Bombyx mori: one gene and its partners. Each later gene encodes a partner of the first gene's protein in a complex. Links are inferred from orthologs where the notes say so. Each region holds a gene or a part of one and is shown in the gene's direction. Other genes may lie near its edges. The genes, in order: ubiquitin carboxyl-terminal hydrolase 39, peptidyl-prolyl cis-trans isomerase H, pre-mRNA-processing factor 6, U4/U6 small nuclear ribonucleoprotein Prp3, U4/U6 small nuclear ribonucleoprotein Prp4, U6 snRNA-associated Sm-like protein LSm6 and U5 small nuclear ribonucleoprotein 40 kDa protein.

What was found.
Region 2: ubiquitin carboxyl-terminal hydrolase 39 (region 1) and peptidyl-prolyl cis-trans isomerase H share a complex: the UniProt entries of both Homo sapiens proteins name them as parts of the U4/U6-U5 tri-snRNP complex. The link is inferred for Bombyx mori from reciprocal best matches to the Homo sapiens genes USP39 and PPIH.
Region 3: ubiquitin carboxyl-terminal hydrolase 39 (region 1) and pre-mRNA-processing factor 6 share a complex: the UniProt entries of both Homo sapiens proteins name them as parts of the U4/U6-U5 tri-snRNP complex. The link is inferred for Bombyx mori from reciprocal best matches to the Homo sapiens genes USP39 and PRPF6.
Region 4: ubiquitin carboxyl-terminal hydrolase 39 (region 1) and U4/U6 small nuclear ribonucleoprotein Prp3 share a complex: the UniProt entries of both Homo sapiens proteins name them as parts of the U4/U6-U5 tri-snRNP complex. The link is inferred for Bombyx mori from reciprocal best matches to the Homo sapiens genes USP39 and PRPF3.
Region 5: ubiquitin carboxyl-terminal hydrolase 39 (region 1) and U4/U6 small nuclear ribonucleoprotein Prp4 share a complex: the UniProt entries of both Homo sapiens proteins name them as parts of the U4/U6-U5 tri-snRNP complex. The link is inferred for Bombyx mori from reciprocal best matches to the Homo sapiens genes USP39 and PRPF4.
Region 6: ubiquitin carboxyl-terminal hydrolase 39 (region 1) and U6 snRNA-associated Sm-like protein LSm6 share a complex: the UniProt entries of both Homo sapiens proteins name them as parts of the U4/U6-U5 tri-snRNP complex. The link is inferred for Bombyx mori from reciprocal best matches to the Homo sapiens genes USP39 and LSM6.
Region 7: ubiquitin carboxyl-terminal hydrolase 39 (region 1) and U5 small nuclear ribonucleoprotein 40 kDa protein share a complex: the UniProt entries of both Homo sapiens proteins name them as parts of the U4/U6-U5 tri-snRNP complex. The link is inferred for Bombyx mori from reciprocal best matches to the Homo sapiens genes USP39 and SNRNP40.

What each region holds. Positions count from the first base shown.
Region 1 is NC_085121.1:4,081,172-4,085,285, forward strand, and holds the start of ubiquitin carboxyl-terminal hydrolase 39, read left to right. Parts: upstream 1-1,314; 5' UTR 1,315-1,436; coding exon 1,437-1,497; intron 1,498-1,577; coding exon 1,578-1,726; intron 1,727-1,962; coding exon 1,963-2,077; intron 2,078-2,823; coding exon 2,824-2,999; intron 3,000-3,222; coding exon 3,223-3,448; intron 3,449-3,611; coding exon 3,612-3,735; intron 3,736-3,834; coding exon 3,835-3,994; intron 3,995-4,114.
Region 2 is NC_085116.1:6,472,058-6,475,057, forward strand, and holds peptidyl-prolyl cis-trans isomerase H, read left to right. Parts: upstream 1-1,416; 5' UTR 1,417-1,756; coding exon 1,757-1,840; intron 1,841-1,929; coding exon 1,930-2,106; intron 2,107-2,188; coding exon 2,189-2,482; 3' UTR 2,483-2,500; downstream 2,501-3,000. Other genes in the region: coenzyme Q-binding protein COQ10 homolog A, mitochondrial, read right to left, coding at 2,670-3,000. UniProt on the Homo sapiens protein: PPIase that catalyzes the cis-trans isomerization of proline imidic peptide bonds in oligopeptides and may therefore assist protein folding. Participates in pre-mRNA splicing.
Region 3 is NC_085109.1:9,950,173-9,953,672, forward strand, and holds part of pre-mRNA-processing factor 6, read left to right. Parts: intron 1-178; coding exon 179-312; intron 313-1,802; coding exon 1,803-1,953; intron 1,954-2,872; coding exon 2,873-2,983; intron 2,984-3,500. UniProt on the Homo sapiens protein: Involved in pre-mRNA splicing as component of the U4/U6-U5 tri-snRNP complex, one of the building blocks of the spliceosome.
Region 4 is NC_085130.1:18,544,909-18,549,103, forward strand, and holds the start of U4/U6 small nuclear ribonucleoprotein Prp3, read left to right. Parts: upstream 1-1,395; 5' UTR 1,396-2,629; coding exon 2,630-2,757; intron 2,758-3,622; coding exon 3,623-3,938; intron 3,939-4,195. Other genes in the region: U4/U6 small nuclear ribonucleoprotein Prp4, read right to left, coding at 1,230-1,395. UniProt on the Homo sapiens protein: Plays a role in pre-mRNA splicing as component of the U4/U6-U5 tri-snRNP complex that is involved in spliceosome assembly, and as component of the precatalytic spliceosome (spliceosome B complex).
Region 5 is NC_085130.1:18,531,980-18,534,307, reverse strand, and holds the end of U4/U6 small nuclear ribonucleoprotein Prp4, read left to right. Parts: intron 1-276; coding exon 277-398; intron 399-1,716; coding exon 1,717-1,809; 3' UTR 1,810-1,828; downstream 1,829-2,328. UniProt on the Homo sapiens protein: Plays a role in pre-mRNA splicing as component of the U4/U6-U5 tri-snRNP complex that is involved in spliceosome assembly, and as component of the precatalytic spliceosome (spliceosome B complex).
Region 6 is NC_085134.1:2,613,317-2,617,605, forward strand, and holds the start of U6 snRNA-associated Sm-like protein LSm6, read left to right. Parts: upstream 1-1,489; 5' UTR 1,490-4,127; coding exon 4,128-4,218; intron 4,219-4,289. Other genes in the region: GATA zinc finger domain-containing protein 1, read left to right, coding at 1-254, 493-679, 1,177-1,343. UniProt on the Homo sapiens protein: Plays a role in pre-mRNA splicing as component of the U4/U6-U5 tri-snRNP complex that is involved in spliceosome assembly, and as component of the precatalytic spliceosome (spliceosome B complex).
Region 7 is NC_085109.1:1,114,844-1,119,030, forward strand, and holds the start of U5 small nuclear ribonucleoprotein 40 kDa protein, read left to right. Parts: upstream 1-1,387; 5' UTR 1,388-1,617; coding exon 1,618-1,734; intron 1,735-2,045; coding exon 2,046-2,172; intron 2,173-2,733; coding exon 2,734-2,937; intron 2,938-3,258; coding exon 3,259-3,501; exon of another isoform or gene 3,502-4,063; coding exon 4,064-4,187. UniProt on the Homo sapiens protein: Required for pre-mRNA splicing as component of the activated spliceosome. Component of the U5 small nuclear ribonucleoprotein (snRNP) complex and the U4/U6-U5 tri-snRNP complex, building blocks of the spliceosome.

The sequences.
Region 1 (4,114 bases):
AGTGCGAACATAGCCATACTTACTCTACACGATACAAAATATTCGCGCGGAAATAAATCGCACCGCTTCGCGTTCAATTTGCATCAAGTCACAGATTTTTTTCCCGCGCGATTTCGTTCCCGCCAGTGCGGATACTTCTATAATATTAAATGTGTTACAGAATTACGAGAAAAAAATCGCGCGGTGAAATATCGCTGTGCGGACAAGGCCTAAATATTACCAAAAATTGCCAAGTTACTCTATAATTACAATATTGGCAAAATAATAACTTTTTGGCGGAAATTCGAGGAGCGAAGCTTTCAAATATTAATCTATGAGCGTAGCAGTGTCAATTGTTTTATTTAATTTATGTAGTGTCTTTTCAGATTAAAATGCGTAATAATGGTGGTTAATTGACTGTATAATACCTTTGAAAGTGCACAAATGTATGAATATGCAACAAAGCCGTTAAATGTAGCTTCTCGGGATCTTTTTAAAAGTCCATTGAAAAAGTCTCAGAAAATAATTCCCATTTTACTGAGACTATATTTCATCTCATCTCATTACGTTTCATTTCATGCCAATTGATTATTGTTCCAAATTAATCAACTTCATTTCATTTCATATAATCATTTATCATAAGCAAAAAAATATGAAAGATTAGGCTGTATGGTATCATACTTTTGCCTTTCCAGTTCGAAAATAGAACACATACTCCTACTAAAATATTTTTTAATGGATTTTATGACACGGTAACTAAGATCTTTAGGTCAACTCTTAATAAAATTTATATTCTTATTTTTATGAAAAATGATAATATGAAGTGAAATGAGATGAGATGATATGGTATAAAATATAATCTCACTATGATAGTGGTCATTTACTGATACTTTTTAGTGAACTTTTTGGAGGATGGATAAGGTCTCAAGTATAGTTACAATGGCTGTCCCACCCTTCAAACCGAAACGCATTACTGCTTCACGGCACAAATAGGCAGGGTGGTGGTACCTACCCACGCGGATTCACAAGAGGTCCTTCCACCAGTAATTACGCAAATTATAATTTTGCGGGTTTGATTTTTATTACACGATGTTATGCCTTCACCGTGGAAGTCAATCGTTAACATTTGTTATGTATTTCAATAGAAAAATTGGTACCCACCTGAGATTCGAACATCGGTGCATTGCTCAACACGAATGCACCGGACGTCTTATCCTTTAGGCCACGACGACTTCATATTTCATACTATATTATCTCATTTCATTTCATACCACTTCGTATTACCATTTTTCATAAAAATAAGAATATAAATTTAATTAAGACCTGACCTAAAGGTCTTAGTTACCGTATCATAAAATCCCATAAAAAGTTCATTTAACGATTAATATTTACATTTTACATTTAGATTTCAGATTCTTCATTTAACTACATTGTCTAAAGTCTATGATAGTAATAAAATGACTGAAGAACAATCTAGAAAACGCAAAATAACTGATGAAAATGGGACTGACAAACAAGGTACTTGATAATGCAATTCTAACCTTCTATGATTCTGCACTCTACTGCTATTTGTAATCAAAGTATTATTATATTTTCAGGACGATATTCGAAAACTCAACAAATTCAATGTCCTTACCTGGATACTATCAATCGGCATGTTTTAGATTTTGACTTTGAGAAATTGTGCTCGGTTTCATTGACTAGAATCAATGTTTACGCTTGCTTAGTGTGCGGTAAATATTTTCAGGTAACAAAATATTTATGCAATTGTCATGGCTTTGGTGATTAGAGGCTTGAACTTTTTTTTACAGGCAAGTTACTTGTTTTCATGATGACGATTTTTATGAGCGCCAGTGTTGTTCCTGGCATTTCATTCCAGTTCTTTGCTGTAGTGATATGTAAGATAGGTTATTTATGTTGACTTAGGCATAAATTTGAATTAATCACTTGCGAAAAAATCATTAAAATCTATCTACTTTCCAGGGAAGAGGCACCAACACTCATGCCTACACACATTCAGTGGCTGATGGACACCATGTATTTTTGAATCTTAACACATTAAAGTTCTATTGTCTTCCTGACAATTATGAAGTTATTGGTAAATTACATATTTTTAACTTGGTTAGCTAAAATAGCTTTTATGTTAGATATAAATTAATTATAAATAAAATAATAATAAGATATAAATGAATTCGGTCAATTGATGATTTTGTGCATTGAAAATATTTATAAAATATTATGATTAAGAATTGGTGCATTTTACAGTTGTTAACACATGCGATAACTTAAAATAAATTGTTAGACTTTATTTTTGTAAGTAAATTAATAATAAGGAAAATTTGACTGATTTTTAAAATTTTATACACCAAAATGGAATCAAGTAAAATACTTTTAAGCTTAAATTTAGGTATCAATGACTAGAAGTACAGTAAAGCTTTAAAACTTGTAATAGTCTAATGGACAAGACACCCAGTGCATTTGTATTGGGCAGTGCAACTGTGGTGGTGTTTGAATTCTGTTGGCAGGTACCAATTTTTTTAATATGTATTTAACACTTCGTTGGTGAAGGAATGTATCAAATCCATCTTGTGATTATAATAAACTTGCATAAATTATAATTTGTTCTAAGGGTGACTTAAGAGCTTGCATTTGTAAGTACCACCACTCTGCCTATTTCTGCCGTGAAGCAATAATGTGCATTGGTGAAGGGGACAGCTACTGTTGTACTGTAAAACTGAGACTTAGAACTCCTGTTATAGGGATGCGGGTAATCACATAGCATCAGATGAGCCGGGAGCTAATCTACCTATCACAGTCATAAAAAAAGACAATTTCACATTTTAGACTCTTCATTGAATGACATCAAATATGTTTTGAACCCAACATTCACACCTGAACAGATCAAGCTTATAGATACTAACACAAAGATGTCACGAGCCATTGATGGCACAATGTATATGCCTGGCATTGTAGGCCTTAATAATATCAAGGCCAATGATTACTGTAATGTAATTTTGCAGGTCAGTATATGTTTTTATTAAATACATTTTATGATATGTACTGTTTTTATTGTATGATAAATGCGACTTATATTTTTGTTGCCGGCGATCTGTGAAAGTAGATGCGTTACAGTCAAACTGATTCTGTTTTAACCATTATGTATATTTGTAGTGAATAATTACACAGTGCTACAAAGTCTTAATATTGTCACAGTTTTATACTAAATTCATTTTATGATTTTAGTGTTTGTCACAAGTACGTCCCCTACGTAACTACTTTTTGAGAGAAGAGAACTATGCTAGTGTAAAAAGACCACCAGGGGACTCGTCTTTTTTACTTGTACAAAGATTTGGTGAATTATTACGCAAACTATGGAACCCCCGTGCTTTTAAAGCACATGTATCTCCTCACGAGATGTTGCAGGCTGTTGTGCTGTGGTCTAAGAAGCGATATCAGTTTATTAAGCAGAGTAAGATTTTAGTAGTTTTTTGGATATACGAACATGCTTTCTTAGTGTAATTTCTGTATATTATGCTAAAAAGTATGAATATTGATTGATCAGTTTTATATTTTAATTATATATTGTTTTATAATAATAATAAAAATTTATAAATAAATAAATTTTTGCTCAGGTGATCCAATAGACTTTCTGTCTTGGTTTCTAAATTCATTACACATGGCACTGAATGGTACAAAGAAGCCAAATAGCTCCATAATTTATAAGTCATTTCTGGGTCACATGAGGATCTATACAAGGTAAGATTTAAGCATCTGATTTTTTAAAGTTCAAAATAATTAACATTTAATCTATCATTATATGCAGTCAAAAATTTCTGAACAGACTGAAATTTTCAGAAAGTTGCCACCGCCGGATGCTGATGATGCAGCTAAAGTCGATCTTAGCAGTGAAGAGTACAATGAAATGATCACTGAGTCTCCATTTTTGTACCTCACATGTGATTTGCCTCCAACGCCATTGTTCACTGATGAGTTCCGCGAAAATATTATTCCACAGGTGAAAATACCTAGTATTGTTGCAATTTAAAAATTGTATTCACTAACTTTTTTATTTTTTTATTAAGACTGGTTTTTTTATATCAATTCACATCCACTTAAATAGGATTTAAAACAAAAA
Region 2 (3,000 bases), on another chromosome or scaffold:
AATAATAATAATAAATGGTTAGGAATTGGACTTGGAAAAAATGAATGACTAAATATTAGAATCAGAAGGAGATTATTGTATGTCTGTATTTTAAACTATACTGATAACTATATAGATGTATATTTTGGAACTTTGCAATATTTATACTCTATTTATTATAATACTATATTTATATAATTAAACTTTATACTTTAAATTTCAAATATTTCATAATCAGACATAATTAAAATGATTACATAAAGTAACTAAGTTTTTTTGAAATCTAGATTAATTAACATAAAAAAGTAAACGAAATGAAACCGACCCAAAGTTTTAAGTTACACTGTGGTGGTTGTTGGCATTCACTTTGTAAGTATTCGTTCCGATGAAAACTTAATATCAGCCAAACATAAAACAATAAATAAATAAAACTGCAATAATATGTATACTTTTTTATCTATTCACTTGAATCGAAAATGAACATTCATCACATCCAATTATTACACTAGATTGCACAAAATTACTTTTATTAAGCACATACACCCCACCACATCTACAATCGTATAAATACACATTTTCATCACTGTCAAACACCATTTCAGACAGTCTTACTGTTTCATAAAGCAATAGATCACTATTTTCATGGCAACTTAATGTAGCATCATACTGTTTCCTGGTGCTAGGTTCTCTTAAAACTGACCAAGCTTTTTGTAATAGGCGAAACTTATTATCAGAATCATCAGTTTTATTTTTATCGGGATGTAATGTCAAAGCGAGTCGCTGATAACTTTTCTTCAATTCTTCAAGGCTTGCTGTTCTATCGCAATCTAGTATTTGATAATAATCAATAGGTAGGTCATTACTTTCCATATTTAATAAAAACTCGTAAAAGAGTTTTATTTATAAAAAATAGTTTACCTCTCTTTAATTCAATTGCTGTTCCCACTTCCCAGTCTTTGATTAGAATTTTTTTGTATTTTATTTATGGCCTGGCCCAGTCTTTGATTGATTGTTTGAAATTCATTCTTTATTGTATTATCTATAATTTGTTCATTGGACGGGCAAAAGGAGATAGACCATACAAATTTCAATACTCTTGTCACAAAACTGTAACCTTTAAATAAATATAAATATAATATATATAAATTTAAATGTATGTTAGGTAAGGGGAATAATGGAATTAAATTAATTGCTCATGGGATAAAATTTAAGGAAGTGAATTAAGAAAGACATCACCGTAGGTATTTGTTAGATAATAAATAAGGTTCCATTAAAACTTATAAGATAGGTATGGCGTTCAAATCTGAAGAAACGCACAATTTACGAAATACAATAATTTACACGACTTTGTCCTTCCCCGAAAAAAAGTCCCGCCCAATATACAATTGTTGACGAATAATACCATAGTCGTCTGTGATCACGAATACTTTATGTAGTTATTCTAAGCGTTAGAAATAATTGAAATTAAACGGTTAGGATAGTTTTATTATTATCTACGATTCGCCGAAATAGAAGAAACTGCTATAATCTTAAAATGTAACAAATTCGCTAAACGTGAAGTTTTGTCCTTTGAAGTCACCAGAAATTCCGTTTTTAGATCTGGACAAATAGGCTTGTAAGCTACCTAATGTCAAGGAAAGGATGTCAAAAGTATAACCTCAAAATTTGACAGCCGGGTAACAATAAACATCAAACAAACTAAAACTTATAGAAGTTTTAAATTGTTAACACAAATGTAATGTTGTTTTAGTAAAAATTTCAATATTAACACATTGAAATGCCTACTTGGAACCAAATACAGTCACAACTTAGGAATCCTAACAATCCAGTAGTGTTTTTCGACATTACTGTAGGAACAACGGTAAATACCTCCCCGAACTTATTGTTTTTTATTAGATTTAAAAGAACACACAAAAATTTATGTTTATAAAATATTTATGTTTATTTTAGGAAATAGGTCGTATGATATTCGAGTTATTCGCCGACGTAGTACCAAAAACTAGTGAGAACTTCAGAGAATTTTGTACCGGTGAATACAGGCGGGATGGTGTGCCCTTAGGTTACAAAGGAGCTACTTTTCACAGAGTAATAAAAGATTTTATGATTCAGGGTGGCGATTTCGTAAATGTACGTATTAAGTTTTGTTTATGATAAAACGATGCCTAACTGAACATGATGGAAGTTTATTAATATTTACTATTCATTTTAGGGAGACGGTACAGGCGTTATGAGCATATATGGTGGAAGCACTTTTGCAGATGAAAACTTTGGTTTGAAACATGACTCTCCAGGGTTATTGTCCATGGCAAATAGTGGTAAAGACACGAATGGCTGTCAGTTCTTTATCACATGTGCAAAATGTAATTTCTTAGACAATAAGCATGTAGTATTTGGTAGAGTTATAGATGGATTACTTGTCATGAGGAAAATAGAAAATGTACCAACAGGACCAAATAATAAACCTAAAATACCAGTAACAATATCTCAATGTGGACAAATGTAAATAAAACTTCACTTTAAATTTTATCTTTTTATTATCATTAAATCACAATGGCTCTGCCTCACATTTCTAACAGACTAATAGATAAAATATAATATTCACAAATTTTTACATAAAGTAATCACAATAAATACTCAATAATTATGTACACTGAATTGAACTAATTTTTTTGGTTTGCAATTAGTAAGCGTCAAGTTTTCAAAGTGTGATTGTTTATTAGTAACTTTCTAGGCTGCATTGTTGCCGGCCCATTGCGCCTTCCGACTTCTTTAATGAAAGCACCTTCCATTTGTCGAGCAACTTGGTCAAAAAACAAATTAGATAAATGTGAATGTATAGCTGATCTAAATTCGAATGTTATCTGGAAGTCCACAACACACGACTGCTGTTCTCTTTTTAGACCAGGACTGAATCTCCAAAGGGTCAACATATGGTGGAAGAGTCTTCCATCAGAACACTCTGCTTTTACCAAATGTGGTTTGACTAGCGTAACATTTGAAGTGTAGCTTTCATTGATAGGA
Region 3 (3,500 bases), on another chromosome or scaffold:
GCTTTATGTTATGATATTTTACCCAAATTTTAAACTGCAAATGGCTCAACTCTAAAGTGGCAAAAATGTCGCTTAAACGAAATAGCTTTTCACCCCTCGAATTATAAAGACAACAAACAATCACTAAATGAAATCGTAAAAATACTCGCGAAAATCTAACGAAATGTTGTGTTTTCAGTTGAAAAAATGTCCAACGAGCGTCCCCATGTGGATCTTGCTGTCGAGACTGGAAGAAAAACTGAAACACGTGACCAAAGCGAGGTCCGTGCTGGAGAAAGCCAGGCTCCGGAATCCTAAAAATGCCGAACTGTGGTAGGTTATACGTTATCTGTGCTTTCTGTCTATCTTTGATGGGGACTCGACTTTTTGGCGGGAACGCGAGGAGTGAAGTTGTGTGATTTGTTTTATTTTGTCTATTTAGTGTTTCTTCAGGTTTAAATGTGTAATAATGGTGGTTTATTAACTGTTTAATATCTATGAAAGTGCATAATTGTGGGAAAATCAAACAAAGCCGCTGGATGTAGCTTCTCGGGATCCTCCAAAAAGTCCACTGAAAAAGTCTCAGTAAATGACCACCATTTTACTGAGATTATATTTCATCCTATATTATCTCATCGCATTTCATTTTATTTCATGTCTTGTTTCATATTAATCAACTTCATTTCATTTCATTTCATAATATCATTTTTCCTATATAAAAAAGTTTTCATTAAAATTAAAATAAGACTTGACCTAAAGGTCTTCGTTACTAGGTCATAAAATCCCTTAAAAAAATATTGAGGGGAACGCTCGGCGGCAGACGCACTGACTCATAAATGAAGGCAAAAAAAGAACAAAAAACCGTATGGTAATAATCATTTATTTCCATTAATGACCAAAAAGGAGCAGAATTATGAACGATAATTATACTCATTACTTTGTTTTCGTTGTGTCCATCGCAGTACCAGCGTCGAGATAAAAATTCGATCACGTCATATCTTCAACAATAATCACAGTGAATTGGCGGGAGTTTACAGGACACTGAGTGAATTCAAGTGAAACCATGTCCAGTGACTATACGCTAACTAATATAACACTTCTTAAACTAGTCACTGTCATATACTCTAGAATCTAGAGAGATTCTTATAGACTAGAATGCGGTGTGGGATCGTACATTATGGCTCGGTCTGGACGCCTGAGGTTTTTTTTTCGTTACCTAATCGTACTGGTAGGTGAGCTCACAGGCTCAACCTGAGAGAGTTGCTAACACTAGCCCTAGCAAGAGCAGTGCTTCGCTGAATCTACCTCCGGATTGGAATCACGATCCACTGAGAAGATCCGGCGAGAAACTCAGTGGGCTGTGTCTGTAGATTAATTTACTCGTGGAGCCCTTAGTTGCAAGTGACGGGTTCGGCGAGGATGGTGACCGGTGCTTGTGGTACCTAAAAGCACTGTTAAACCTTCAACAGTGCAGTAACCGGATTCCGGAGGGACGCATTGTCATTTTAATTGCTTTAATTATTCAACTGATGAAAGTCGAGAGGATCCGTAATAACGTATTTAGGGCGACTACTTTCATTAATCAACCAAACACTGTATACAATTTCTATTTTGTTATTGCTCTTGTGGGCAGATGAGCATACGGTCCACCTGATGGTGAGTGGTTACCGGCGCCCATGGACTTCAGCAATGCCAGGGGCAGAGCCAAGCCGCTGCCTACCCCTTAATACTCTCCACAAGCCTCGTTTGAATTTTGTTTTCCAAATTCTGTTTTCATTCCTAGATAAGCATAATGAATTGATTGTATTTTTTCTTCTATTTAGGTTAGAAAGTGTGCGATTGGAAAGACGAAACGGAAGCCCGGAAATAGCTAATGCCGTTATGGCGAAAGCTCTTCAAGAGTGCCCATCTGCCGGTCGACTGTGGGCGGATGCTATCTTCATGGAATCGAGACCGCAGAGGAAGACTAAAAGTGTAAGTTGTTAGGCTATAAGATAAATTATAATACAACTAGCTGTACCCGTCCGCTTCGCCGGGCATTTAAAATTAATATTATTATTTCTCACCCCCACAAAGATTCCCATCATTAACGCCCCCGCAACATGTACATGTATTTTCTACATGGATACCAAGTTTCAAATCAATCGGACGCATGGTTCAGTAGTTATAGCGGAACATCCATAAAAACCACTGTAGATTTATATTTATATTTATATTAGTATAGATAGGTACGTCATTGCATCTCAGTACAATTGACTCACCCTTAAATTCAAGTACTTTTTGGGCAAATGGCACACCCTGTAAAGTGTTCAGCTGAGCTCCTAAACATAACAACGTAAAGTCGTCACTCACCTTTGAGGCGTGAGGTCAAAAGAACAAGCACTCAGTGTCATGCCGATTAGTCGCAGTAATAAAATCTCAACACTCCGAATCTATAGTAAAACTGTGATAATTTTAAAGGCCTACCCACTAGAAGAAAAACACATAATTAACCATTTTTAGTTGTAATAAATAATAAATGTTTTATTTTGTTTTGTTTTAATAAACAATGCTTCCGTAAGACCACGACTGCTTTGCCAAGAGTAACAGATTATGATGATGATGAATTGTAATTGAATATGCAGTTTCGAAAAGGGCACATCTCTGAAAATGTAAAATTTTCAGGAAATGAAAAAAGCTGATTATTTTCTAAAGCAGTCTAAAATTTAAAATATTTACTTTTGATATATATTTTAGTGTTAATTAGCAATTGAAAATTACTGGAATTATTATAAAATGGGTGTAGGTAAGCCTCAAAACTACATGTATATGAAAAAACGTATTTGACAAAATATGCGACATGTGCCCTTTTCGAAATTGCCTATTCAATTATAATACTGGTATTATTCTACAGGTTGATGCGTTGAAGAAATGCGAACACGACGCCCACGTGCTGCTGGCTGTCTCACAGTTGTTCTGGACGGAGAGGAAACTAAACAAATGCAGGGAATGGTTCAATAGGACGGTTAGTAGTCTAATTATTATTTATAGCAATATAAACTGTCGAGCTGACGGCTGATATCATTCCAAATTTGGCCCGATACTGCTTAAAGGACGACCACCACCTTCTGGCCTTACGCTATATAAAATGAGGCCGAATTAAAAAAATAAAACATTACATTTGAAGTCGTCGTGGCCTAAAGGATAAGACGTCCGGTGCATTTGTATTTAGCAATGCACCGGTGTTCGAATCCCGCAGGCGGGTACCAATGTTTGTAACAAAATACGTATTTAATAAATGTTCACGATTGACTTCCACGGTGAAGGAATAACATCGTGTAATAAAAAATCAAACCCGCAAAATTGTAATTTGCGTAATTACTGGTGGTAGGACCTTTTGTGAGTCCGCGCGGGTAGGTATCACTGCCCCGCCTATTTCTGCCGTGAAGCAGTAATGCGTTTCGGTTTGAAGGGTGAGGCAGCCGTTGTAACTATACTGAAACCTTAGAACTCATATCTCAAGGTCGGAGGCGCCTCCAGTA
Region 4 (4,195 bases), on another chromosome or scaffold:
TTGTTGCACAGTCATAAGATAACAAGCATTGGGTATCTTGCTGATTCTTCGTGATTTAGAAACTGCATTCGGAAAAAAAAAAAAACATTCTGATTTAAAAAATTGTATCCTCTGTCAGACAGTAAATATTAAACACTCAGCGGTTCATCTAAGGCTAACTGAGCTTATTTGGCGATTAACAATAATGAAATTTACGACAGAATTGGATTATTATTGCAATCAACGGATAAAACTCACGGTCACCTAGCGTTAAGTGGAGACTGGAGTTCACAACCAGAATGCTGCTATTTGACGTAACTTGAGCAATCGAAGTGACAACTGTCAACACAACTAGCAATAAACACTTACTACACACAAGCACTCCAAGTATTTTTTTATTATTGTTTAGATGGGTGGTCACAATGCTCAGTATCGAGGAAACCGAAGCGAAAAAAAATATGGGTAGATGAGCTCATGGCCTACTTGGTGTAAAGTGGTTACCGGAGCCCATAGACAACCATGCAGCCCCCTAGTTTGTGAAATGAGTTCCAAATCCCAGTTTTATAATACAATGGCCGCTTCACTCATCAAACTGAAACGCATTGCTTCATGGCAGAAATTGACAGGTGGTAATACCTACCCGTGCGGACTCACAAGACGTTCTAACATCAGTTAAGTCATTAATAGTCTTTGACAACAAACCGAAAAAAATTATAGTTTAAAAAAATAACAAAATTCGCTTTTATAGAAAATCCAACTAAAAAATAGAAAATAAATTTTAGTAAATTTGAATTAATAGTAGGGTAAGAAAAAAATATTTTATTGTAAAAAAAAGCATGGGTTGCTTTTCAGGATATTATTAGAATAACCCTTGTACTTTATCTGTTCATAAAATATTTATAACTACTGATATAGTGCACCCCACGCTTTTTTTTACAATAAGAAATTTTTTTCTTACGCTATTTTTAATTCAAATTTATTTATTATTTTTTAGTTGGATTTTCTATAAAAGCGTATTTTGTTAGTTTTATTTTAAATAATTATTTAATTTCATTTTTTAGTTGAATTTCAATTTCTTCAATATTTTTTTTCCAATTTTTTATTAATATTGAATTGTCATCGGTTCTTAATAAGTATACCAAATTTCGAGTTAATCCGACGTTTTGAAGTGGGTCAAAATCATGTTCTAAGATTCCGTTACATACTAACACACGTCTGAAGCTAATAAAAGCGTATTAATAAGGCTCTACCGTTAGATATTTGTATGTCTCCTAGTTCTTTGCCGCCGGGGTCCTCTGCTCCCTCTTTGGCGGCTGCAGCTAAGGCTGCTAGTCTCGCCTTTTCCTGTTCTTCCAGCGACCCATAATGTACCTGCTTCTGTTTCTTTAGATACGCGATATCTTCGTCATCAGACATTGTGGTTTTTTGTTTTGATTAAACTTCGACTTTCATTAATAATTAACATAAATAAGCTAAAATAAATGCCGATTATATTAATAGGTTATGTTTTGGTTCTGATCAAAGGCTTTAAAAACCTTATTTTTGTCTCAGTCAGGAGCTTAAAAACTTTGTTTTTACTGTATTGAAATGCAAATATACACTAATAATAATTATATATTATGTTGTTTAAGATTTCCGTTTAAAATTTCCTGTTTTTAACGCAAATTGTCGTAAATACAACAAGTCGATCTATAGCTTAAAGTCACTAATGTCAGAAGTCAAACTTGGTATTTTGTTTTATTTTTCTAATCGAAATGACGAAGAAATCGCATCATGCGGTCTAACTTTTTATTTATAGAAGCATAATCGTCTACACTATCCTCTTCTTTTTCTTTTCCTCGAAGGTTCGTACTAGATTCACCAAACGAGTAGGTGAGCTCACACCTGGCAAAATTTCTAACATTGTCCCTAGCAAGAGCAGAATCTGAGATTAGGGCTTAGGGCGAAGGCGACTGTTTACCGTTTGATCCGTAGGATTGGGTATATAGTTACCAGCTACGTCATAAGTGCTGAAAATGTAAGAACATAAATGGAATTATAAACTATGTAATCCAAATTGCCAACTGCTCGAGCAGTTAAGCCAACTGCAACGATAGTTATCAATGACAGCTTCAAGCTGGTGACTATGAGTACAATAGAGGTCTGTGTATATTGATCACTGGCGAAATGCTCTTACACATCTTGGACAAAGGGTTTGGTGATGCCCCGGAAACCTTTCTAGTATTACTAGAACCGGCCACCACATACTCAACCGGGAATGATGCGGTTTTGCTATATAAGTGTCGGTTACGAAAATTGCTGTTCATCATAAATATTTACACTATTAATTTTAACTAACATCGCAAAGCTTAGTTAACTAAATTTTTAATTTTTTGGTTGGTAAATTTACGTCAACGTCATATGAACGCAAAAGCGTCAAAGCGAAATTTTGACGGAATACATAGTAACAGAAATAGACTTAAATAAAAATGTATTATTATTAATTAATTACCTATAAAATGTAATCCAAAAAAGTGTTAATCTAAGTTAAACCGAAATATATTACGTGTTATTGAATAAAAAGCTAGAATATAAATTGTCAAACTTAACCTAAAAAACAGCTAAAGATATATTTTTGTTTGACTTCGTTCTGTTGAGTTGTTGTGACGATATGGCACTTCAGCTGTCCCGTCGCGAGGTAGAGGAACTCCGGTCATCAATAGACCGTGCCATATACAGGACTATAGGAAAATCGGATAACTCAATTCTATCGACTGTTTCGTCGTGTTTGACGAACGGGTGAGCTTGCTAGTTGAATAGTAAACAAACAGAATTTTAAATAATCAAATATCTTTATTTTTTATTTTTATTGCTAGATGGACGAGCTCACAGCCCGCCTGGTGTTAAGTGGTTACTGGAGCCCATAGACATCTACGACGTAAATCCGCCACCCACCTTGAGATATAATTTCTGAGGTCTCAAGTATGGTTAAACGGCTGCCTCACCCTTCAAACCGAAAGTCACGTTTGCCTTTCAAGCATAGATATATAAAAATATTGACTTATGAAAACAGCTAGTTACTCAATTTCTAAGTTATTAAAGAACAGACATTAATGTTCACTGTGCCTCATTGACCTAAAACTCGTATGGTATGAGATTTTCCGGCTTTGGAATCCCCTCTCTGGTGTTTCCCATGTACTATGAGATGTCCTTCTTTAAACAAGACTTGTCGAGATTACTTATGATAGGCAGCGGCTTGGCTCTATTATTGGCATTACATCATCCATGGGCAACGGTACCCGCTGACCATCAAGTGGGCTGCATGCTCGTTGTGTCTGCCTCCAAGGGCATTAAAAAAAGGTTGAAGGTTGTACAGCTATTCCATCTTCCAGACCGGAATGTATTATTAATTTGGGGCAAAAACAGTCAGCATTGCGATGCCTACCTGTGCTGACTTATAATATACCTCGTTATTGCAAACTTATAATTTTGAATATTTGTACAAATGAGATGGTAACTTTGATTTTATGTTTCAAATGATAAATGATATTAATATTCTAATATTACTACACTACGCATTGCTGAAAATTAAAAAAGCTACAGCTTTGTATTCCTTGGCATACCTTACCACTAGTAACTAAGAAAATTGTTCTTCATATTTCAGATATGAACGTAGAAAAATTATTGACCGACTTTCATCGCACATAGACTCCAAAAAGGCAAGCAAACTAACCGATAAGGTCATAGCATTGGCCCAGGAACTGATAACGTCATCAAAAACTTCATCGAAAAGGAAACATGAGAGTGACAGAGATAGAGATGGTAAGAGATCTCGGTACGAAGGTTCAAAGCAAGATGAGAAAGTTTATGTGGAGAAAAAAGATGTGGAGGAAAAGAATGGAACTGATGATCTTCCCGCTATTCCCGAAGGAGAGACTCCAGGATCGAAGATGGCTATCCTGAGTGCAGACAGGATTAAGGTATGTGTTATTGACTTCCTCATTCTGGTTGGATGATCAAACCTGCTAGCCACCAGTCATATGCACATAACAGTTTTAAAATATACCACCTGATTGGATATGTTTGAAGATTCCATTTTCTAACACATTTATTATTACACATATTACTGGTGGTAGGACCTCTTGTGAGTCCGCACGGGTAGGTACCACCGCCCCGCCTATTTCTGCCGTGAAGCAGTAATGCGTTTCGGCTTGAAGGGTGGGGCAGCCGTTGTAAC
Region 5 (2,328 bases), on another chromosome or scaffold:
TTTTTCAAAACAGATTATAGCCTATGTCACTCAGGAATAGTGTAGCTTCCGAACAGTGAAAGAATTTTTTAAATCGGTTCAGTAGTTTCGGAGCCTATTCAAGACAAACAAACAAACAAACCTTTCCTCTTTATAATATTAGTTTAGATTCAAATTGTTCAAAGTCGTCGGTCCTTAATATGTAGACAGTTAACTATTAAGAACTTAATTGTGGGCATGGCAATGTCAGGGTGACAGCCAAGCCTCATTGAACACGGAGTAATGTTCCTCCATCAGACGTCCGATACCAACGAAGCCACGGGCACTTCCTACTAACGGCTTCGTACGACCGGAGCGCGAAGCTGTGGTCCAACCCGGCCTGGCACCCACTGCGGACCCTCAGCGGACACGACAACAAGGTATGACCGCTTCGTATGTTCGTTGTAGGTGGGGAACCACCCGGGGAAAAGGGGGACCGAGTTATGGATTGGGGGATAAAACACCACCTCTAGAGCGACGTGCATGGAAAGTTTTTTTTGCCCAAAAAATGTATCGTTACGCGCTGGGGTTCGGGATAAATCAAAAATTCTACCGAAATATAAATTTGTAACTTAAAACACTTAAGGAGCAAATTCTCAATTCGCTTCAGATGATCCCTTCGCTACAATTCTGCAAGGACTATACGAAGGATTATGCAGGAAATCTTATGAGTAGCTTAGTGTATTTTTTTATAAAAATTAATCTGAACTTAAATTTTAACCATGAAGAAACTTAAGAAATATTTTTTTATTTTTTATTTTGTGTCCCCAATAGCTGTACTATGAGGTGTTTCAGTATTATCCATTCTTTCTGGGACACCCTGTATATATAAGACATCGTCCAAAAATCTTTGAGGTTGTTTTTTTTTTCGCAAATATTAAGAAATTGGTGTGGTCGTTGATTATTTGTCTAGAGTTTTATTCGCGGTCAAGGGGTCCACCGTGGTCCACTGGTTTAAACATGAGCCCTGTGTGCTTAGTGCAAGAGTTTTTTAACGTTCTCCTTAGCGTAAAAGTTAGCTCATATTTGTATGGAGTGGGATCGTTTGCCTGTTTGCCGTTAGGGGGCGCTGTTCATACTGCATACAAAATTGAGTTAACTTTTACGCTATCGAGAACGTTAGAAAACTCGCACTAAGCTCACAGGTCTGGCGTTCGACGTGTTAAAATTTACCTAATGTTATTATCACTACATAGTATAAAACAAAGTCGCTTTCTCTGTCCCTATATCCCTAAGTATGCTTAGATCTTTAAAACTACGCAACTGATTTTGGTGCGGTTTTTTTTAATAGATAGTGATTGATGAGGAAGGTTTATATCGACGCTAACGTGACTAAGCGACAATGCGTGAACTTTACAGTAGACTAATTTAAAGTTGAAAAACCTGAAAAAAATTCTATTTTAACGAATCTAGCTGTAGGATTGAAATGATTTTAATAGACATAGTAATATATATTTTTTACCTAACGAATACGGTTATTGCATATCATTTATGTACAAAGCAGTTTTCTCGCTTAGTCACGTTTGCCTTTCAAGCGTCGATATGTATAATAACATCCATTGAATAGTGGAGAAATCGATAATAAATGACATGTTTCCGAAGCGAAGCTAGGGCGGGTCGCTAGTTTATTTATATATTTATCAGACTGATGTCCATTCAGTCTGGTTGTAACGTGGTGAGCGCGTTGTCGTGTTGCAGGTGATGAGCGCGGACATATCTGGGGACAGCAAACACGTGGCCACGTGCTCCTACGACCGGACCTTCAAGTTGTGGGCTCCGGAGTTGATATAAATAAAGATGTACTCTTGGATCTGGATGTTTTTGTTAAATACCAAAACGGAGTGCGGGGAACGTTTTGCCACATACCATCCGGCTATAGAATGAGCTCCCCTCCTCGGTGTTTCCCGAGCGCTATGACATGTCCTTCTTCAAACGAGGCTTGCGGAGAGTACTTAACGGTAGGCAGCGGCTTGGTTCAGCCCCTGGTATTGTTGAAGTCCATGGGCGACGGTAACCACTCACCATCAGGTGGGCCGTATGCTTGTCTGCTTATACGGAAAAAAAACAAAAATCTCGGAGCTCTCGATCCACCACTTTAGGGGGGGGGGGGGGCTTGAGGCAAATTAGGATTTGTGGAGTGGTAATGGTGGAGTTTAGGGTAGTATATCGCTTCGTGTAGTTCTGAAGCAGTAATAAGTTTGTTTGGAGGGTAGATCTACCTTTATATAGTACTAGCTGTACCCGCCCGCACCTCTAGGCGTTTAAAATTAACATTATTATTTCTCACTCCCACAAAGATTCTCATCATTG
Region 6 (4,289 bases), on another chromosome or scaffold:
AAACCGATTGTGAAGACATTAAGGAAGACAAAGATAATGGTAAAAATGAGGAGTCTACGCCGGCTAAAGCTACCGGCAAGGGCACTAGGAAAAGCACTAGATCAACGAGATACAAACCTAAAACACCTGCTCCACCGCCATTGAAGCAGCCGGCGCCGCGGGGCAGAGGACGCAGGAGTCTATTCAAAAGGCAGCCATTGAAAGCACCAACAGCTACAGCGACTGTTGTTACAAGTGATTCAGTATTTTATCAGGTCTGTTCAATTATTTAATCCAATTAAAATCTGTAGTTAGATATACAACAGCTGTAGAAATATACCTTTTTTTTTATTTTTCAATAATCTTGAGGCTATATCGCATACTAATTATAGTTTAAAAACTGATTAGAGATTAATTTAATTTAAAAAACCCTAACTTATTATTCACAGTAAACATGAAAACTTGAAAAATTACCTCGGTTCTGCTTTGAATAGTCTGTGGTAATTTTTTCAGGGTATGTACATGCAAGTTGGTGATATTGTTTCGATGACTGACATTGATGGTGGCACATACTATGCCCAAATTAGAGGCTTCCTAACTGATGAGTACTGTGAGAAGAGTGCAGCTGTTACTTGGTTATTACCTACAAAAGCGAGCCCACCTCCAGAGAAATGTTTTGATCCTGCTACATATATCATTGGTATGAGCTTTTAATAATATTTTAATTAGAAATACAGATATTTGCAACAGGCAGAAGTAGGTGATTAAAGTATTTATTCAATATCTAAGGCATTTTGGGTGATTTTTTTCATTTTGTAAATTTAGTGCTTTAGATTTTCCACTTGTAATAATAGTGACTCATTAAATGTGTATTCGATCAAAGCTCGTGAATAGCAGAAAACGAAATAAGTCGCTTGACACGGCATTTCTAAAAAGCCTGCATTGTTTGATTTCACTTCCTCTCGTCTTGTTTCAATCTATATCATGTAATTTCATCCCAATATAATGAATATAATGAAATAAACCAACTTAATTAAATTCAGCTTAATTTTTTATTTTTATTTTGTAAATATGATTTTTACTAACTCAATACTGGCAACAATAGCATCACGAAAACTCAACTGCCATATAGCAAAAAAAAGAATAGTGTATATAAAAAATGTGACAGTTAAGGTTAATATTGCTGTAAATTTTCAGGCCCTGAAGAAGAGCTGCCTCGGAAACTGGAATACATGGAATTTGTGATGCATGCTCCATCTGATTACTACAAAGCGAGCAACAGTCCATACCCACTGACTGATAATGAACTGAATAATTATACTGGTTTTGTATGGACTTCGATGGAAGCTAAAGAGAGAACGTAGACTTTTATATTTAAGCAAAGTGAACATTTTGTTACAAAAAAATACTGTTTATGTTTAGTTTTATTACCCCATATACCCCGTAGTTAACATTTATTTAAATTTAGAGCACAATTTGAATTTCGATATCATTCACAGTTATAATTTTTTTTTTTTTTTTCCCTACCTAAGCTGATAGCCCTAGCGGCTGTCAGCGTAACCCTAACTTTAGTAGGTGAGCTCACGGGGCTCAAACCTGACGATGTTGCTAACACGAACCCTAGCAAGAGCCGTGCTTCGCAGAATCTACCACCGGATCGGAAACGCGACCCACTGAGAAGATCCGGCGAGAAACTCAGTGGGCTGTGTCTGAGAGTTAATTTACTCGTCGAGCCCTTCGTCGCAAGCGACGGGTTCGACGAGAACGGTGACCGGTGCTTTAAGTACCTAAAAGCACCGTTAGTGGATCAGGAGGATCCGAGATGACGTGTTTTGGGCGACGTCGACTGCTTTCCATTCTGTCCGCAGGATCGGGAATGTAGTTACCAGCGGCCACGATGAGAGGGTTCTCGTGTCGTGCCGCTTTATCGAAGTGGACAGTTATCAATCATTCAATAACACACATCATTCACTTTAATCATTCAAACCAACCAACATTTTTTTTCCTCCAGAAAATTTGGTATAAGTATTCATAGTAGTAAGTAGTAACTATGCTGTTTCCCTAGATCACTGATATTTTTTTGCCTATCTTTCAATGCCCTTGAAGAAGTGGAGCGTATGGAAGCCCAATTATTTTCAGTTAACCTCTTGGGTATTGCATTTTTACCCTACCAAGAAGTTGTTCAAACTTTGGAAAAAGGATAATAGTAAGTCTGTTGGCGCAACAACTTGTGTGTATGGTGGATGCAAAAACTTCCATCCATACCTCTTGTAGCTTAAAGACGGTCGATTGTACCATATGAGGTTGAGCGTTGTCATATAGGAGAAGTGTGGACAAGCGATTAAGAAGGGCAGGCTGGAGATACAAAAGCTTCTTCATCATTGTATCCTGTTCCTCACCATACACATCTGTAGTAATGATGCTATTTGGTAGGAAGCTGTGATGAATTATACCAGAACAAAGCCACTAAACAGTGAACATGACATATTTAGAGATAGATTTTCATTTGAGGCATTGCCTTTGTACTGAACCTCTAGTCCATGTAATGTCCGAGTGCAATAATTATTCTAGCGCCCTCTAGTAAGCGTGCAATCAAGTTGGACTAGGAACAAATCTAACTGCACCAGGAGGACGGGACGGCGCGTCGGCGGCTGCGGACTGCGATGCGGTCCGCATTTTCGTCGTCGCTGTCGTCGCCGAACATACTGTTGAAGAGCAACCCGGTCGGCGGTGTATCGCGTTCCGACCCGGCAGGCTGGTTCTGGCCCAGCGGGGTATCCCGGAACACCAGCGGCACCACCCGGGCGGCCTGGTAGGGCCGCCGTACCGCGGAGACCGACGTCGTTGGTCGTCGACTATCGCCTCGACGACCCGTCGGTCGGGCGTCCTCGGGGTGGCGCCGCGTGTCTGGTTGTAGTGTTGACCGCGGGAACCCCCCTACACTGAACGGGTTCTGACCCCGGACGGAGATCGGACGTCGGGTGTAAGAGTGCAGGGGAGTCGTTTGGTGGGTGGGCCCTAAAATCCTTGGGCCCGCGATCTGCTCTCAACACCTGCAGATCGCTGAGTCTCACATACCCCGCGCGCCCCCTAGGCGCGGGGACCTCGTAGGAGGTTCGGCCCCCGGCCCGAAAAAAAAAAAAAAAAAAAGGAACAAATCTAACTGATTCATTAAGAATGCAGAGGCCGGTGCACCCTAAAACCGCAGCGCGCATCTGCAACTCACACACACCTCGCACCATAGGTAAAGTCGCCTCTAGTTCTGAATCAGGGTGTGTTTGCAACCCGCTTGATGACCGCTTATGATTATAAACAATAATCCATTTTTCATCGCAAATGACCAGCTTGATGTGACCGCTTATGATTATAAACAACATAATTCATCGTAGATGACAATATGCTTCAAGATACCCTAATGGGGTGACGATCGTTCAGTTCGTGTGGGGGTGCCACATATCAAGTTTTGCCCACCAACTTGACCCAAATGAACTAATATTCTTCTGATCCTAACGTTGAAAGCTGCAAAATGTTTTAAATCAAAACTTCTGTGCTGAACCGTACAGGCCAATCGTGCGTTCTTTTGTAGTGTTCTTTCCGTACATACACATTATTTCTTAAATACCAAACATAATATGAGCCGTTTTGCGGCATTGCCACGGCGACGGAACTCTCCATATTCACTCTTTTCTATCGTGTACATATTGATGTAAGATACATTATATTACAAATGTAGTGAAAACAAAACACTAATCAACAAACAAATAACTGGATTTGAAAATAGAATGTCAAACTTCTCGGCATCCTCCAAAAAGTCCACTGAAAAAGTCTCAGTAAATGACCACCATTTTACTGAGATTATTTTTCATCTCATAACATCTCATTTCAATTCATTACATTTCATTTCATGCCATGTTTCATAGTAATCAACTTCATTTCATTTCATAATATTAATACAATTTTTCATTTTAAAAAATTCATTAAAATTAAAATAAGACGACCTAAAGGTATTAGATACCAAGTCATAAAAACCTTTAAAAAAAGATCAAAAGTAATCAAAACACCCGCTTTGACCAATTTGAAAATTTTTAAGTTTCATTTAATGTATTTCGTGTCTTCAATTTCATCAGAATAATAAATAAACACAAAAAATGAGTCGTAAGGAAGCTTTGTCCTCGTTTATACAGCAGATTCACGGTCGCCCAGTTGTCGTTAAATTAAACAGCGGCGTTGACTATAGAGGTTTGTTTTCCTTTCAAATTTTATTTATTAAGTTAGTAATAACAATCACTTCGTCTTTTAAGAACCACATA
Region 7 (4,187 bases), on another chromosome or scaffold:
GTAATTACTGGTGGTAGGACCTCTTGTGAGTCCGCGCGGGTGGGTACCACCGCCCTGCCTATTTCTGTCGTGAAGCAGTAATGCGTTTCGGTTTGAAGGGTGGGGCAGCCGTCGTTACTATACTTGAGACCTTAGAACTTGTATCTCAAGGTGGGTGGCGCATTTACGTTGTGGATGTCTATGGGCTCCGGTAACCACTTAACATCAGGTGGGCTGTGAGCTCGTCCACCAATCTAAGCAATAAAAAAAAAAAAATGCGTTCTCGTCTCTTTTAAAAGTTCATTACACAAACAAAGCGATCGGGGCTACACGTGAAAAAATTGTAACTTAAACAAATGATTTATAGCCGTCGTGACCTAAAGGATATGACGTTTGGTGCATTCGTATGTAGCGATGTAACGATGTTCGAATTGCGCAGGCAAGTGCCAATTTTTCTAATGAAATACGTACATATCAACTAAACTGACTTCCACGGTAAAGGAATAACATCGTGTAGTAAGAACAAAGCCCGCAAAATTATAATTTGCATAATTACTGATGGTAGGACGTCTTGTGAGTTTGCACGGATAGGTAGCACCACCCTGCCTATTTCTGCCATAAAGCAGTAATACGTTTCATTTCGAAGGCTGGGACAACCATTGAATTTTTGAGGAGGCAGTCTCCTCCCGGTGATGGTCACGGGGCCTCCCCCGGGCCAACTCCCTCACCTGAGGGGGTTGAGGCTGCGCCGCACGCTACCTACCATCACTCTAGCGCGCTGGCACAAGGAGGACGGGACAACACGTCAGCGACTACGGCCTGCAATGCGGTCCGCATTGTCGTCGTCACTATCGTCGCCGAACATACTGTGGAAGAGCAACGCGGTCGGAGGTGTATCGCGTTCTGACCCATCAGGCTGGTTTTGGCCAAGCAGAGTATCCCAGAACACCAGCGGCATCGCCCGGGCGGCCAGGTAGGGCCACCGTACCGCGGAGACCAGCGTCATTGGTCATCGACTACCGTCTCGACGACCCGTCGGTCAGGGGTCCTCGGAGGGGCGCCGCGTGTCTGGTTATAGTGTTGACCGCGGGAACCCCCCCTACATTGTCCGGATTCTGAGCCCGGACGGAGATCGGACGTTGGGTGTAAATGTGCAAGGGAGTCGTTTAGTGCGGTAGGGCCCTAAAACTCCTTGGGCCCGCGGTCTGCTCCCAAAACCTGCAGATCGTAAAGTTCCACATATCTCACGCCCTCTTAGGCGCGGGGACCTCTTAGAAGGATCGGCCCCGGGCCCGAAAAAAAACCATTGTACTTTAAAAACTGGGACATTAGAATTCAAATCTCAAGGTGCATGGCGGCATTTACATTGTAGATGACTATGGGCTCTAGTAAACACTTTAAGTTCTTCATTTTGAATGACTCATTATCTCATCTTCTCATCTGAATAGGTATACAAAAAAAAAACTTTTTAGAAGGTAGCTTTGTCTTTTGTTACAAAGAATTTGGCGATATTGGCTATTTTCCTTTTGCCTATACAATTGACAAATGAAACAAGCTAAACAGTCCTTATACCATTTTTAAGGTTAGTATTTCTGTTTGTAGCTATAAAAACAAATAGGTAAATAAACATCTTAAAAAATGCCAGATATAGAAACTAAAAGAAAAGCAGAGGATGTGTCTCTTGTACCCTCCAAGCGAGTACGGCATGAGATCTCAGTAGTCGGCACCAGAGAAAAGGCAGTTGTTACTTCATCTGTGAGTATTGTTTTCAATAAAGTTTACTTATTTTCTCAATAGTACGGTCTATAAAAGCTAAGAACTCTAACGCCACGGTGAAAGCATCAAGAGATCATAATTATAATTATTAGAAATGGAACATAACATCTAAAATAAACTTTTAGAAAAACACAATCTGTACTTAGGTAATCATGATTGATATTTGTTAAAATTTAAGGTAATACGAATTTTAGTCGGCTTTTACTTTAAGATTTATTTTTCAACATTTGTAGTGATCAACAAGATTCCAAGATTCCTGTGTTTTGTATTTTATATTCTTGTCGTTCTAGGTTCCACGAACATCAAACTTGTATGCGCCAATTATGTTGTTGGAAGGACACCAAGGAGAAATTTTCACAGGCAAATTTCATCCTGAAGGCAAACATTTGGCTTCTGCAGGCTTTGACAGACAAATATGTAAGTAACAAAATCATGACAAAGCTTTTGAATTGGCAAAGTGTTTCTAAAATTCACACTCTAATAATATACTACTATCAAAACGTTAATGAAGAATTGACACATTTGATAACACAAATTATAAGATTACAGTAGGTAGGTTTTAAATTTAATTGAAAAGAGTGAACAAGGTAAAATCTGACCTAGTGTATAAGTGATTATTGGAGACCATAGACATTATATTACAGCGTCTTAAATTTTCTCTGAAGTCCAAATCCATTTCAGTTTGATTTAATATGCATTATTAAGAATGACTGCCAGTACCAATATCCCAGGCATGGGCCACACTGTACTGGGGTTTTAGTGACACGAGCCCTATAATGTAGGGAACAATATGATACAATACTCAAAATGATAGCTGATATAAACTGTTTAGCTTAAGCCACCATTAATATAAAAAAATACAAAATAAATGTTTATACCATTGAAAATTTCCACCAATGTCAGGGTCATGTTGACAACTTATAAGCTGTACAAGTCCAACTTAGTAATATTATGATTTTTGATTTCTTATTTTCACAGTAATATGGAATGTGTATGGTCAATGCGAGAATGTGATGGTGATGAAAGGTCACACGGGAGCAATAATGCAGCTTTGCTTCTCACCTGATGGTTCACATTTGTACACTGGAGCTACGGACAATACTGTAGCAGTATGGGACGTACCCACCGGGACTAGAATCAAGAAGTTAAAGGGTCACGCTAACTTTGTGAACTCTGTTTCAGGTATGTTTCATAGTTTGAGTTTTGACACACAATGGTTTTCATGCTAGTGCTTTTTAGTAGTACAAATACACAACAGTAACTTAATTAAACATTACTTTGCACTCTCAGAGCCTTAAAGTGATTGGATCCAAATAAAGTGGGATTGACCTAAAATTGAAACTATAATCCGTAACCATGGTTTGAAACCAGATAACATCAATCTAAAATCTCAATGCCTGTGGATACAATAGAACTGTAAATTCATTCATGGCATCCATTAAAAAATTGGTTTAGACAACGTAACAATCTATTCTAACTTTCTCGTGTTATCTCTATATCCAGGAGCAAGAAGAGGTCCAGAACTCTTAGTTTCAGCTTCAGATGATAACACCATAAAATTATGGGATGCAAGGAAAAGGAATCCAGTTGCATCGTTTGACAGTTCATATCCAGTCACAAGTGTACTCTTCAATGATACAGCTGAAAAAATTTTATCCAGCGGTGTGGACAATGTCATCAAAATGTGGGATATAAGGAATAATCAGATTTCCTTGAAAATAAAAGGACATACAGACACGGTTACAGGTTGGTAATTCTTTATTGATTCTGATTAATTAGATTTTTATTAGGTGATAATACTGCAACCAGAAATTAAATTAAAATATTGATACAGTTTATCTAGAGTGGAGTGAGGGCAATATGATGACAGTAATGACTTCAGTCTATTAGTTAACTACTAAAATACTGATTACCATACAATGTATTTAACAAATATTGATCTTATGAGGAAATGAGAATGGATTGATTGGTATGCAGTACAGTAGTAGTAGTTGCATACATATGTATTTCTCTTTATAATCCCTGTTGTTACTTGTTGACGGGTGTATTGTAAACTTCTTCACCCATTCTGCCTTCGGTAGCCCAAACTGGTATTAGGTAATTTTAGAGAAATGTAACAGCTATTATTAGAATGTCTCTAGCCTTATAAGTAGTAATAATTCATGACTAAGACTACTTGTTTAGTTTACTTGTAGATCGTGAAGTCATCTACCCAGGTGCGGCAATAAATATGTGAATAGAAATCATATGAGTTTGATACATTTAATGACTGGCAATGTCTAACTTGTGTTGCAATACTCGTTTCCAGGATTATCATTGTCATGGGATGGTGCATATCTCCTGTCCAATTCAATGGATAATACACTCCGTATTTGGGACGTTAGACCGTTTGCACCAACAGAACGCTGTGTCAAATTAATGTCTGGCCACCA